Lytechinus pictus: one gene and its partner. The protein of the gene in region 2 binds, or shares a complex with, the protein of the main gene of each other region. Links are inferred from orthologs where the notes say so. Each region holds a gene or a part of one and is shown on either strand. Other genes may lie near its edges.

Region 1 (7,416 bases), on a different chromosome or scaffold from region 2:
TCGATTAAAAAAAAATGGAGAAATAGGACAACCATAACTACACCCCTCTCAATTTTGCCTCATAAGGCTACGCATATGACTTAATTTTTTTTAACTCAAACCATGTAGATTTAGCATTTTGATAATTTGATCATGTCCACAGATAAATTTGTAATAATTTGTTTGTAATCGATCATATAATGGAAATACCAGAAAATAAACAACTGAAAATAAACCATATTTTCTGAGAAATCCGAGCATCCTCGATATAGATGTTAAAGCTGATTATATATCAAATCATGTACATTTAGCATAAGATATCATCTTTGTAATTTGTTCTATCATGTTCAAGCAGGAATTTTCTAAATATTTTCAAGATTAGAGCTAATAAGAATACACGTAAGAACTTCTTTACATTTAGAATCAGCAACTTATGGAATAGTCTTCATGGGCTTGTAGAAGAATCTAAGGATGTATTACAATTTGAAAAGAGGATTGATTTTTGGTGGCGTAAATGCAAATTTGATTATGAGGTTCCTCCCACGGACCGCGCCAATTCTTCAGACGTCAGGTTTATCTCCAGGAGCTGGACATAGAGGAACAGAAGATCCTGCGTCCAGAACTGAACTAGCTTATTTAACCTTATGTAAATCTTTGCTTAAACACACGGGCGTCAATCGGTGGGGGACGGGGGGGGGGGTGTCCCCCCCATGATTTTTTCAGGGGGGGGGACACAATATCAAATGTCCCCCCCATGTTTTTGTCATAAAAGAAGTGTGACCATCTGGGGGGGGGGAATATGTGCATACCTTCTCAAGGAAATGAGAGTTGATTCCCCTTTAAAAATATAAAGAAAAAAAACAACTGTCATGTAACTTTTCGATGCAATTAACGGTGGGTAAATTCGCATTCAAAAGCAGCGCAGCTATAGCCGTCTATGAGCCGTTCCTGTACGTACGACGCCGGGGTACACGCGAGCACCCACATGGAGACCCGCACGTGCGTGGTGGGTTTTTTTCATGTGGGTATGCACGGCATGACAGCATAGGCGGATCCAGGGGGCCGCCCCCCCCCCCCCAGTGGCGTACCTAGGATTTTCCACAGGGGGGGGCAAAACCGTCCGGCAAAAAATTGACAAGCAAAAAAAAAAAAAAAAAAAAAAAAAAAAGGTCTTCGATCACAAATAAAGGATTTCGTACCAGAAAAAAATTGACAAGCAAAAAAAAAAAAAAAAAGGTCTTCAAGCTCGTCAGGGGGGCATTAAAGGTCTTAAAGCTCGTCAGGGGGGGGGGGGCAAAAAGGGTTTTTCAAGCCCGTCAAGGGGGGCAAAGATACGTTTTTGCATGGGTTGTGACTCGTCAGGGGGGGGCAGAGTGCCCCCCTGCCCCCCCCCGTAGGTACGCTAGTGCCCCCCCCCCTATTGGAGGAGCAAAAAAAAAGAAAAACAAAGGGAAAGAAAGAAAAAAAAAGAGAAGAAGAAGGGAAAAGAGAGGAGAAAAAAAAGGGAAACATAAAAGGAGGAAGACGAGTGAATAAGATAAGGGGAAGACTTGGAAAGTAATAATAAAAAATCTTTCATGCCGGGATATAAAATTTTTGCTCGCGCTTTGCGCTCGCATCGCCTTTTAGGTGATTTACATATCTTGCTCAATATGAATCTTGAAGTCAATACACAAAACATATTTCAGCTCGAAAATTTAACTTTCATTATTTTTTTTTATTTGCAAATTTGATGTTTAAAAAGTGTTCTGTAAGAATTATTATTTTATGGTCTGAATATTAACATTTTCTGCTTGCGCTGCGCGCTCGCAAAATTTGATTTGTCAGGTACCTATTATTTTCCTGTATTCCATAAAGTTATCAAAATATCCCTATTCAGGTCAGATTGTGAAAACGTATCAGCTAGCGCTGCATGCTCGCATTTTGATTGGTGAGTTATGTTTATCTCAATATTAATTCTAAAACAAACTACTTAAAATCCCCATTTGATCACATGCAGTTTATCAGAAATTTCGGTTCGCGATTTCCGCTCGCATTGATTGTTGAAATATATCAACTCATGCATCTTATTCATAATTACAAAAGTGCTTTAAATGTCCAGTTTTCAGGCCATAATATTAAGAGATTTCGCGCTCTCATGCTTAGGAAGAGAAATAGGAAGATAGTCATCATTTTCATATGATGACATAATGTCCCGGTCCGCTATGTCAAAACTCAAAGTAATAATAATGAAACTTATCAGCTCTTTTTAACTGTGATCCATATCCACCTCACAATTTCCCACAAAGTGCTTGAAAAACAGAGCTTAAATTGACCCTTTTCAGAGCGGAATATCATATATTTTTAGCTCGCGCTTTGTGCTCGCTTTCTTGATTTTCATGATAAGAAATGTATTTAAATTACCCTAATTCTACATGTTCTAGGTCGAAATCTGAAACACGCGTTTATTTAGATACGCAGCTTGTTCTCTATTTAAATCATTATCCAGTTTCAGATCACAATATAAAAAATTGTCTGCTCGCGCTTTGCGCTCGCATTATTAATGTAGGAAAATTTCCAATTACTCATTTTCATGATTTACAAATCATGAATAGAGTGTCCAGAATTTTTCCGCTCGCGCTTCGCGCTCGCATTATTTGGTAGTTAAAATATGTAACGTCATCATGGCTAACACGCAGCCGTTAACTGATCAGACCAAAGCGTATGTCAAAAATAAATAAAACAATTTGTGCTCGTGCTCTGTGCTCGCATTATTTATGTAGGAAACCGATTTCCAATTACTCATCATTTTCATGATTTACAAAATATGAATAGAGTGTCCAATTTTTAGGTTTGAATCTCGAATTTTTCAGCTCGCGCTTCGCGCTCGCATTAATTATTTAGCTATATACTTAACCTTTTTCATTCTTCCGGTAAAAATGTCAAAATTTTCAGCTCGCGCTTCACATTATTTGATAGTCGAAATATGTAACGTCTTCATAGCTAACAAGCTGCCGGTAACAGATCCTTTTTTATCAGATGAAAACGTATATTAAAAATTTCTGCTCGCGCTTCGCGCTCGCAGCAATTATTTAGTTAAATACACATCTCGTTTAGGATCATAAACATTGCCCAAAATGTTTGAATTTTAAAACAAAATACATAAAATAAACAAAAAGCTCGCACTTTTTAAATAAGGCTTATGATATTATATATAAATATATTACCCCTTCAAAGAAACAAACAAAAATTAACTTCGAGCGGCCGATCGGGGAAAATGTGGGTGAAAAAAATTCCGGCCCCCCCCCCCCCCCTATTGGCGAAGGCTGGATCCGCCCCTGTGACATACGGTACATGTAGCGGTGGAGTATGACGAAAGTGTAATGGATCTGGAAAGTATACCTATAAAAGTGACATGCTTGCATGTTGCTATTGTGTCCCCCTCATTCTCAAGTTTGGATTGACGCCCATGCTTAAACAGCATTGTCAATCTTGTCTAAATCCCTGCACAGACTGAAGAATTAAGAAATGACTCAGTGTTTGTAATCGACCACAATCCTAATGGAAGGCACAAAAAAAAGGAAACTAGTCCTATTTACAGGAATACCTGGGCCCCGTATTACAAAGAGTTGCGATTGATCCAATCAATCTCAACTTTATGGAAATCCATACTCATGCCATAAATTTTTTCTACAAGAAATTTGCACGATATCCTTAGTAAACAAAGAGAATCACATTATGCACCGAATTTTCAAGACAACGATGGATGTATGAATATTCATCATATCTAGAAAATGATATGAATAAGCATGCATTTTAGATGTTGACGTTGTTGGCCATATGATCGCTCAATCACAACTCTTTGTAAGACGGGGCCCTGATTTATATTACTTTGTTTTATGTTTGAGTGGAGATGAAATATAGAATTGAATTAAAGTAAACAATTTCCGACAACTAACATTTTAAAAGGAAACTTGCCATTTCTGGAAGTAATTTGCTATCATTAATTCATCTGGAAAGCAAAAGAAAAAAGTCATTTTCAGTAGAGACAGGCTGTAAATGTGTCTCTACTGAAAATGACTTTTTTCTTTTTTAGTTTTAGACTCCTACTGACTAGTATTAATAGATTTGCTGACTCTCCCGATGACTTTTCGTCTCATGTAAAAAACACTACTAAAACATGAACAAAATATAAAAATAAATAGTTAATAGTTTCGGTAAATCTGTAAGTGCTATAAAAAAAACCGCCATGACGTGTCTTTTAATTTAGGTCGTCTGGTCCCCCTTAAAAATCTTGACCCTGCCTGTAAAGAGTTGGGCAAATAATCAATTACTATCAAATCAATATCCTCGTCCTCGATCCCAGCCCCCCCCCCCACGACGTTTTGTAATTTTTATACATTGGCATTTTCTCATCGAAAGAGGTCGACATTTATCTTACACAACATTTCACCTCTAACGTTAGCGTTATACCGGCACATTTCTTGTTCTGTTATTTGATTAAATCACCTTTAAAAAATGTTCGGACTCGTTAGTAGACCAGCAAGGAGGATTGGACAGACGGTATGAAATTTCTTTTTTAAAGTTCATTTCCACAAAATAATGAGCGAAGCTTTTAGGTCTATTGTCTTGATATTGTGTTTACGCAGTGCGAATGCACACGGCCACGCCAGTCGATCGGGGCAGCCACGGCCCGCAGTCGATGTATCGTAGGTCTCGTTCAAGCTCCTACAGTTTCAGCACAACTTTAATGATGAAGGGGGGGGGGGGGGAGGAAGCCGGGGGGGGGTCCTTTTCTATGCTCCTACAAATTTAATTAAGCATGACTTTTCTTTTTATTCCAGACGATACTATTCCACTAAGAGTGGCAAACGCAAACATCGGTTGTGACTTGTGTGCATTGTCATCCACGCCCACCAAAAAAGGGTGGTGCCACAATTCATCCGATTTAGGTGTAAAACAATTTAAAAGATATTATGATAACATATTAGACCATCTTATAATGCTTCTAAGATTCTTCACATATTGTTGGTCTGAAATTAATGTCTTAAACCTAGTAGTAGTACAATGTCATTTTACCTTAAAGATCGGCAACTAATCATATTTCATTTTCATCCTAAAAAATATTTGAAAGCACTAGCACATAGGGTATAGACTTTCTAAATTCTAGACTCTATTCTGTTTTTTGCACAATTAAAATCAATTTGAATTTATTTCCACAATTGAAGAACATTGAAATTAAGAATTACTGTGAAGAAAATATGTGTCAATCTGGAAGAATTATTGTGAAAAGTGAAAAATTGTGATAATTTTTCTATTTCTTGTTCAATATTTTTTCCTTGTTTTCCATTTTTACATGTCAAGGACATTGCTAAACTTATTTTTCAATCAATTAACAGTAGAATCTATTTAAGAAGAATGTTCTACATGTAGCTTTCATTTGAAACTAAATTTGTAGTTGGAAATATTGCGTCATTTCGGAACTGCGTAACCGGGCGTCACAAATTTGGTCTCAAAAGATGTGCAAGACTTGAAAGTAAAAAGTCAGTGAGCTGGGCGGTAAAAAAAATTGCATGGCGGCGTAGCTGCAAAATTTGTCGAGGGGGGGTTTAATTGACCCTCTCCCCCAGTTTAATAAGGGTTAAGGAAAAGGGGGGAAAATCTTCATTTTCTTGATAGTTTCCAACTAACTTGTTAGTCTGAATCTATATAATTTCAGGGAAATTTGGAAAATGCATTGTACAGGACCATTTCTTGGATAAAAAGATGTGAAGTGTGAAATTTCAGCTATTTTAGGGAAGTTTTTTTGTGCTTTATACAGTCAAATGGTTGTCAAAATAGGAAAATGTGTTTTAATAGTCATTTGGTCTGCATTTTAAACATTTTGACTCGCCCCTATTCGTGATTCAGGTCACCTTTATGTTTAATCAAACTTTTCTGAACTTGATTCTACAGAAACATTTGTCATATGAACCCACTTTTCATGTTTGTCTTAGAACATGTTTACCTCAAAACGTAACCATGATTCTGCAGAAACATGTTTCAAATCGTGATTCTACCTCTAGAGTAAAAAAAGTGGCAACTATGTTCCCAAGATATCAACAATATTAATTTTAAAACGTTAGACTAAAGTGTAACATATTAATACATGTATATCATAGACTTGTCTAGTGGTAATATTTATTCTGCATCACATGGTCTACATGTAAGATGCATTTATGCTGCCATCTCATTACTAACGGAAGCAACTGATATTTCTTTTTATTTGTAAGTTGACTTTTGTTCGTGATTTGAGATATTTCCTGTATGATTGTTCTGGATGATGATAAACTAAGGAATTGGAATCATGTACATGACTGGAGTCACATACATAGCCCCCAATTTCTGAAATACAGTGTTTCAAAAGCAAGTAACAATAAAACAATAGCACATTTTCCTCATTTATCAAGAAAGATTCCTTTCATCACTAGACCGCATAATGCATCATGCATCCCCAACCTGATATCCCATGAAACAATTTTTTGTCTTTTTGTTTTTGTTTTCAGTTGTCCTATCTGCAGAGACACAATAGTACCTTGATAGTGGCAGAGCACAACAATGAGAGTCTTGTACCCATAACCCTCAACGCCATCTCGGCTGCCAAGAAGGTCGGGGGAGAGATTTCCTGTCTTGTTGCTGGTACCCAGTGCGCTAAGGTAAGGGTAGTCTGCAAGTTCAGACTCATATTTGAAACTCAAACCAATTATACCATGTCTAGACTGAAGACTATGTCAAACTCCCCCCCCCCCACCTTTCCTCCTTACTATCTTTTACGTAATAAGGTCAATGAACTCGCACAAATAGAGAATTTTTCTCAAATTTTATTACTATTCTTTTTTTTTCATATAACATAAGGCAGCTATCTCAAGTACTTTTTTGGAAGCGCCACATTTCTTGTTGAGAATCTGTAATGCTCCACTATCCATTACGCAAACCAGCAATTTATCACCGGATGGGGGGCCCAGAGGCCCCTGGTGGCGTGGGGGTCGAGGGGGCAGAGCCCCAAGAAGTTTTGGAATATGAGGCCTTTTAAATTGCCCAGAGGGGCTCTAATTAATATCAAAAGAAGAAATACAAATGCCAACAAACTACACAATATTAAAAGAAAAATGACCAGTGACTTTTTCACAACATACCAATGATACCACTAGTTCAGACTGTTCTGCACCAGATCTATTGGCTGAAGCAAGTGGCGTAATGAGTAAAAAAAAATGAGGGGCTAGATATGGCAGCTGAAGCAAAAATATTGAACTTTTCAATACAAAAATCTATATTTTGACATAATATTAAGATAATACAATATTTCCCTTTTCTTTCCTTTTCTCCTCTTTTCTCCTGTTTTCTTGGCCGTGAAACACTTGGGGGCCCCCAATCCCCGCCCCCATCTGTACACCAGTGGCTAAAGTTACGTTCCCCGAT
Region 2 (7,660 bases):
GCTCGCTGGCGACTTTTTACAAATTTTCCCACATTTGCTATGGTGTGCCCTCACAATATTTGGATGATTACGATACACAACTGCATTAAATTTATGTGTTGTGTTAAAGCTATATAAATATATATAAAATATATATTAAAATAAGTGGCCATCTGTAAGGTTTAAAATGGCTTTGATATCAAGAGGTTCCGGGGCTCTGCCCTGGACCCCACCCAGAAAGCACTGTTATATGGATGAGTTTGGACCATGGCCCCCAAAAGTTCTACAACCAAACAAAAAATATGAGGAAAGAAAGGAAAGTGTATTACATTTTTCTGAATATCACGCTAAAATCTATCTTCATGTTAGATTCTCATGAAAAAGTGATTTTTTTTATCTCGCTCGGGACCTATATTAAGCTACTTAATTTTTTTTTAAAGTTATGTGTGCGGTGTAATATATATCCCAAAATGTATAATAATACATATATCTCAAAATAGTATATATCTCAAAAGAAGTTGTATTGCATTGGTAATGCTTAATTAAGATTATCCAAAAGCTATTAAAATAGATTAAGTTTGCACAGATTTTTATTACAAATATTTTATGACAGTATATAGACATATTGTGGTGTATGTACTGTATAATATATATTGAGTACATATTAAGGAAAGGTATTGATTCATATACATTCGCGTCTAAGCACGTGAACTTATGTATGTAAGTAATCACACTCATTACACATAACTTTCAAAAAAATGTTTGTAATAAAAATCTGCGTAAACTTACTTGATTTGAATAGCTATTGGATAATCCTAATTAAACATTACCGATGTAAAACATTTTCTTTTAAGATATACCTATATTTAGTAAATTAATCCAAATATATGCATGGTAATTGTTAAGCCATCATGTCTTTTACATCTTCAGATACCTGAAGAAGGCCCAACTAAATGGCCGAAAGCTTGTACTAAAACTACTAATAAAAGTTGAAGAAATACAGGCTACGTCTCTAGCTTCAATGCTTTTTGAGCTTCTTCGCCAATATATTACTCACTGAAGCACCCACGCAATGTTTAGGTCCTTGCTCATCACAATTATATATATATATATATTTGCCCGATACACCATATCGCCCCCTCAAAATTTTTGCCTTATGACGCCATTGCCTGTTCCATGATATGACCGGGAAATTTTTGGCTCTTGCCCCCCCTGGCCACCGACCCCTGTTACGCCGCTGCACATATGGCATTACCCAAGGATTTATTTTGTAACAAGAATGAACACAATCTATTCAGACATAAAAAAGGAAGCAATTTGAGCAACAAAAAAACTTTAAAGAAAAATGATGCACATGGCCTCATATCATCCGACTTTTTGACCCATAGATGACCTTTTACCCTATCATCCTCATGAACACACATGTGGAATTACCCAATATGTCATTTGTACAAAGTGTGATGCAGAAATTCAAAAAATGAGAGTAAATTGAACAAAAACTTTAAAATACATTTTTGTAATCCAGCTAGTTCAATTCAATAACATGTATAATTTATCTATAATCTATTTACATAAGGACATAATAATGGAAGTAATTACTCTAAAGCACAGCATAACAAGTGCACCATAGAAACACAAAGACATAATATATCGGGGGCGGGGGGGTACTGAAAAAAAGACTAGGAAAACAAATCTTTTAAACATAAAAAGTACACTGAATAAAAAAAACCAACTAAAGAAATACAAAAATTGGGCAATATATATATGAAAATAAATGAAAAGTTATTAATCGTCAACTGATCATCCTACCCTGAAACAAGGGCAGGCAAAACCAATCATTCCAAGAACCAGATATAAGTGTTTTCTTCAGTATTGACTTAAAAAACAATTGAGAGATCATTAAACAAAATTTCCCCTTTTTTTTACTTATAAAACAATTTTTTTACACAAACAGGAAAGGTGATTACTAACTTTAACAAGTTACAGTAGGTCTCCGCTGAACTTTGTTTGGGCGAGACAAAAAAGAACTTGGATTGAATTGGAACAAACAGAATGCTTTAACAGTCTACAACTCAATTAGCAGCAATACACTTGAGACCAGACCAAAAGCTTCGGTCTCTATAATATTGGTTGTTCCGCTGAACTCTTGTTTTGTTGGCTCCACTCACAGAGACCTAAGTTCTAACTTGATCTGTACAGGGACTCAATGGCCGTACACTACCAGTCACAATTCTTTGACTCACTATTACATGTTTCAGCCAAAGAACAATAGATTCAGTGGACTGAATCTAGTTTTCTCTGGTTGAAAACAAAGAATTGTGACTGGTACATAAGTTCGGATAAAACAGGGAAGTGGTACTGGTAGGTAGTTGCATGACAGCCATGAAGTCACTGTTTTTTCCTTTTAAATTTATTTTTTCCCATTTCATGCATTTAGGTGCATGTAAGGCCAAAACAATACTAACTAGCTTTATCTTGGTCCAGTTCTTTTTAAATACTTTTATGAAAAATGATAAAACCGAAGAGCCACGTCGCCGTCGGGGGTTTAAAATTAAAATAAATAAAAATTTAAATGCTAAAAAAAACACCTCGAAACAGACGGCTGCCAGCTGTCTAACTTGAGACACGAGTGATTTTTCTTTCAAGTGAAGAGAATATCCATATGGGCATTGATTTATTTCCAGATGGCTACATTTTTCGAACTTTTATTAGCGTTATCTACGAAATCAGCGATTGTCAAAGTCACGTCAAAGACACTGAGGCTATCTGTCGCACAATGTCAAGGCTACCCAAAGTCAAACCCAGCTCTCGGGAGCGCTCCCGGCTCGAGCACACTCGACTCTCGTTCACTTTCCAATTTCAAGTTACGGGCGTAAGGGTACGGCCTCTGATCGGTCAATGAATGTGTTTAAAATGAAAACACTTACACGAAATTGTCTAGAAAGTAACCGAAGCGCCATACTAATCGATTGTGTTCTTCCTACAGGGCTTAAGTTCGAACTAAAAGGACAGATTCAGAACGTCGGATCCGGCTCTCTAACTCTGGCTCTCGGAAGCTGATGTAAACATTTACGTAATATACACACAGTACAGCATGCGGATACTACCGATAGATGGCGCTCTTAACATTGAAATAAGTTGTAATTGCCTTATCATCCACATTCTCTTTCTCTCTTCTATGATTATTATGATTATATTATGGTCTCGGGAGCCCAGTCTTAGAAAGGCCATTTGCCTATGCTGGCTCCCTCCTATTCTCATTTATTTTCTTGTTAAATTTATTTCTATTTTTGTATCTATATTTGTATATAGTGTATTCTTTGATTTGTATGTTTTTAATGAGAATTTTGAATAAATACATGAAATGGAAAATGAAAGAAAAAATACATTTTATATGCAGGTTTCAAAATTTTGGAGAAATAATTAGTCCCCCCGCCCCCTTACCCGTCATGAACACTAAGGTCTTATAACTGGTTCTTTCATAACAAACAGATTTTTCACTAATAGCCCCCCCCCCCCCCCCCCCGGACCAAAATCCAATTGAAACCAGTTGGATTTCCAACTGGTTTGGTTTTAACTGGTTTAAATTGGTTTTAACTGGAATATAACAATTTCCAGTTGAAAACAATTGAAACCAGTTGGGCAACTGGAAATCCTTACTGGAACCAGTTGGGTAACTGGAAATGACTTCCAACTGGAAATGATTTCTAACTGGAACCAGTTGGGTAACTGGAAATCCTAACTGGAACCAGTTGGGTAACTGGAAATCCTAACTGGAACCAGTTGGGCAACTGGAAATCCTAACTGGAACCCGTTGGGCAACTGGAAATCCTTACTGGAACCAGTTGGGTAACTGGAAATGACTTCCAACTGGAAATGATTTCTAACTGGAACCAGTTGGGTAACTGGAAATCCTAACTGGAACCAGTTGGGTACTACTGGAAATCCTAACTGGAACCAGTTGGGTAACTGGAAATCCTAACTGGAACCAGTTGGGTGACTGGAAATCCTAACTGGAACCAATTGGGTAACTGGAAATGACTTCTAACTGGATATTAATTCTAATTGGAACCCGTTGGGTAACTGGAAATCATAACTGGATCCAGTTGGGTAACTGGAAATGACTTCCAATTGGTTTCCAATTGGAAATTTTCCAGTTACCCAACTGATTCCAATTGAAACCAGTTAATTTGCATATTATCTGCCAGTGTGCACAGATTAATGTTTTATGTGATTCATCATCATTTAAAATGTATCTATTTAATTATTTTCTATTTCAAGTACCAAACTTGTTTCAGATAAGTGTTTACAATGCTTAGCAGTGAAAACCATGTTCATAAATGTTATAGATTATAATTAAAACAGATTATAAGATAGTTAGTACACCACTAACTGTTACCAAATTACATCAAATACAAATACATATATTTGAAGATCTTTTATAAATAAATATACATTATGAAAGTCTATTTTATCAATGCCCTTTACATTGGTATTAATAGACATATTATAGCACTGCTTCTTTGTTGGCATGAGCAATAGTTAGCGCAAATTCTAATTAATTTGTAACTAATTAGGTCATTCCAAATGGAAGTTCCAACTGGTTCCAGTTGAAACCAGTAGCCTCCAATTGGTTTCAAGTTAAAACCAGTTGCTTCCAATTGGATTCAACTGGTTTTAATAGGGAAATTGGAACAACTGGAACCAATTGAAACCAGTTGCCAAATGGTTGCTTAATTGGTTTCAACTGGAACCAATTGCCAATTGGTTCCAGTTGCCCAATTGGTTTTAAGTGGAACCAGTTGGCAACTGGTTTCAATTGGTTCCAGTTGTTCCAATTTCCCTATTGAAACCAATTGGCCAACTGGTTTCAATTGGTTTTGCTCTAATTGGTTTCAACTGGATTTTGATCCCGACCCCCCCCCCCCCCCCCTCTCCTGCCCCTTCCTCTCTCTCTTTCTGTCTGTCTGTCTCTCTCAGAAACTGACACACACAACTATATGCATACAAGCAAACAATTCTCCTGTCATTTTAATCTATTTCCCACTATTATCCTTATTTCTCTTGAATAATATTTTAATTGACTGCTGTTTGATATCATGATGTAACAGTAGCATCATCACATTTCAGTACAGAGTGCAACATCTTATACCATTTGAGCATAACAGATTTTGGCAGCAATATATTATCACAAATAATTGATAAATGAAAATTACCAAGATCAAAAAATTTAATTCAAAAAATTAACATGTTTATTATAAGGAATCTATTTTCTAAACATTGACATTAACATAACAATAATAATTAGAGTCTATCAAGCATTAAATTGAATTTTAAAGAATGAAGGCAATGCATAGCTAAAAAAAGGCTGTTACTGGGTGGGGGTAGTATGGGGTGGGTAAATTTTGGGTACATTTTTCTAAATTGTACAATGTTTGTTACAATATTTCATTCAAAGGATTACGATGAGCCTATAGTTAATATCAGGGATGTATCCAAGATTTCATAAAAGAGCATGAAAATCTTTGATATTCGTTTATTTTTTTTCCAAAAAAGTTTGTCACTAAACGAATTTGGTAAATTCCTTTCAAATTTGCTGACAAGAAATAGTCTACTGATGTGAGAGCACTCCTCATAAAGGGGGGGGGGCACAATGCCAGAATCTACCTAAAGGGTGCCTTCCCGAATCAATACATTAGCCAATCGTTCACAAAATTTGATTTTGTCTACTGTCACTGTGGTTAGAATTCAATCTATTTTTAAAGTATAGTATATTCATATATTTTTGCAGTGGTAACCCATTTCAATTTTTTTTAATAGTAAGATAAGAATAAATGTAACTTAATAACCCTAAATAATCATTCAAGCTTTATGAAGACTTGTAATCATGGTAACTTTGCCCCCAGCCTGTTGCAGCTAACATTAAAACCTTAATTTGCTCAGCCCTGTTACAATGATAATTTTCATAATGACAATATTACAATAGTAATAACTCGTTTATGAAATGAGTTCCAGGAGTGATACTGACATTATTTCTTAATCTTCTGATCACCTTTATTATCATTTAGCTATGAATGATTTTTATTTCAAAATACAATATTTTTTGTCTTATTTACAACCCTAAGTATGTCACTTAAGGAAGACATATTCTGATATTGAATAGGCCTTTAGACTAGAAAATAATATTTATTTTCATCAAAACTACTAAGAACTAGTAAAAGTATAAAATATAAATAAAAGGTGATACATTTGCCCGTTGGAAATATATTTCTTACTTGTATTTTGTGTGAAATTTTGTACCAAAACTTGTATACTTAAATGTCTTTGCCCGGTGATGCAGGGGCCGCGGAAGGCGGGGGGGGGGGGGCTTCAGCCCCCCTCCCCCCCACTTTTTTTTCCAAAACCATGTACAAAACGTAAAAATGACCATACGATTGTGATTTTTTGCGTGGTCAGCCCCCCCCCCCCCCCCCACTTTGAAAACCGTTCAGCAGCCCCTGTGATGAACCTGAACTGTACTGCACTCTTTTCTACAGATGTGTAGTTTAAGTACCGTAACGTTCAATGATTTATCAATATAGTTATTTCAAATTAAATTCATTTTAATGTGTTATTGCAATGAAGTAACTACTTTTTATTAACTTGACCTTCATATTTCTTCTTGGCACTTTTTGTGATACCAGTACTTAAACAGCTTGGGAAGTGGGAAACCTGCATGGTAAAAAATAGAGAAAAGAACAAAATAAGCTGTAAATCATTCTTACTCATCTAGTCCAGTTTATTAAAAAGATGTAAACTCTATTTTATACTCTTCAGTGAAATAACAAGTTTAGCACATGCAGTCACTTTTGTCCTACATCCAGATAAATTCATAGATCAATATAATTATTTATAGTATGTTTTGATAATAAAGAGTGCAAATTAATTCAAATATTTTTCAGAATTTTGTTAATATCTTGTTTTTATGCACATGTATGTATATAGACAGGAGGCATATGGATAAGTACTGGTGAATCTGAATTCAAACAAATATAACTCACAATGGAACTTTAACATTACATGATATCATGTTTCAGCACAATTGGCCATAGCCCCCCCCCCCAAAAAAAAAAAGGTGGAATATTTAGTTATTTGTTTGTTTTTTTTTTTGGGGGGGGGGGGTGATGAGCTTATACAGCCTGTATATTATCAAAACAGCAAGCATACCTTGCAATTTTTCCATTCAGAAATCCTGTTCCTAATTTATAGATTGTAACTCACACTTGCTGATCTGCATGGTTCTCAATTTTGTACTTCTGACTGGGTGTGAACTGCTAAGAACTTGGTCCCATTGGATCTGCAATCAACAATTTAAAGTTTAGAGTTTTAGAGGAGATAAATAAAATTACTTTTCTTAAACAATATTTTTGAAATTTCCGCTTATTTTTCACAAAACAGTGATATGCACAACTCAGTGACATGCAAATTAGTCAGTCGATGATATCCGTCACTCACTATTTCTTTTGTTTTTTCATTGTTTGAATTATACAATATTTCATTTTTTACAGATTTGAACATAGGGACCCGGCCGACTTGACTGAACCATATAGTATTAAACAATGCTAATCCCACATGTTTAGGGATGAATTAATCACTGTTTCACTTGAAAACGAGGAGAAAATTATAATATTTCATATCTCAT

The links. The genes of interacting proteins can lie anywhere in the genome.
Region 1: the proteins of medium-chain specific acyl-CoA dehydrogenase, mitochondrial-like (region 2) and electron transfer flavoprotein subunit alpha, mitochondrial-like are in contact, whole or in part, in a crystal structure (PDB 2A1T), measured with the Homo sapiens proteins. The link is inferred for Lytechinus pictus from reciprocal best matches to the Homo sapiens genes ACADM and ETFA. Residues at the interface, in NP_000007.1 of Homo sapiens: Pro163, Lys173, Pro211, Gln232, Arg235, Glu237, Val251, Glu253; in NP_000117.1 of Homo sapiens: Arg223, Lys226, Arg249, Asp253, Ala283, Ile284, Gln285, Glu304.

The regions. Positions count from the first base shown.
Region 1 is NC_087254.1:12,844,433-12,851,848, reverse strand, and holds the start of electron transfer flavoprotein subunit alpha, mitochondrial-like, read left to right. Parts: upstream 1-4,354; 5' UTR 4,355-4,476; coding exon 4,477-4,521; intron 4,522-6,503; coding exon 6,504-6,653; intron 6,654-7,416. UniProt on the Homo sapiens protein: Heterodimeric electron transfer flavoprotein that accepts electrons from several mitochondrial dehydrogenases, including acyl-CoA dehydrogenases, glutaryl-CoA and sarcosine dehydrogenase.
Region 2 is NC_087259.1:22,186,330-22,193,989, reverse strand, and holds the start of medium-chain specific acyl-CoA dehydrogenase, mitochondrial-like, read right to left. Parts: upstream 3,069-7,660; 5' UTR 2,940-3,068; coding exon 2,907-2,939; intron 1-2,906. UniProt on the Homo sapiens protein: Medium-chain specific acyl-CoA dehydrogenase is one of the acyl-CoA dehydrogenases that catalyze the first step of mitochondrial fatty acid beta-oxidation, an aerobic process breaking down fatty acids into acetyl-CoA and allowing the production of energy from fats.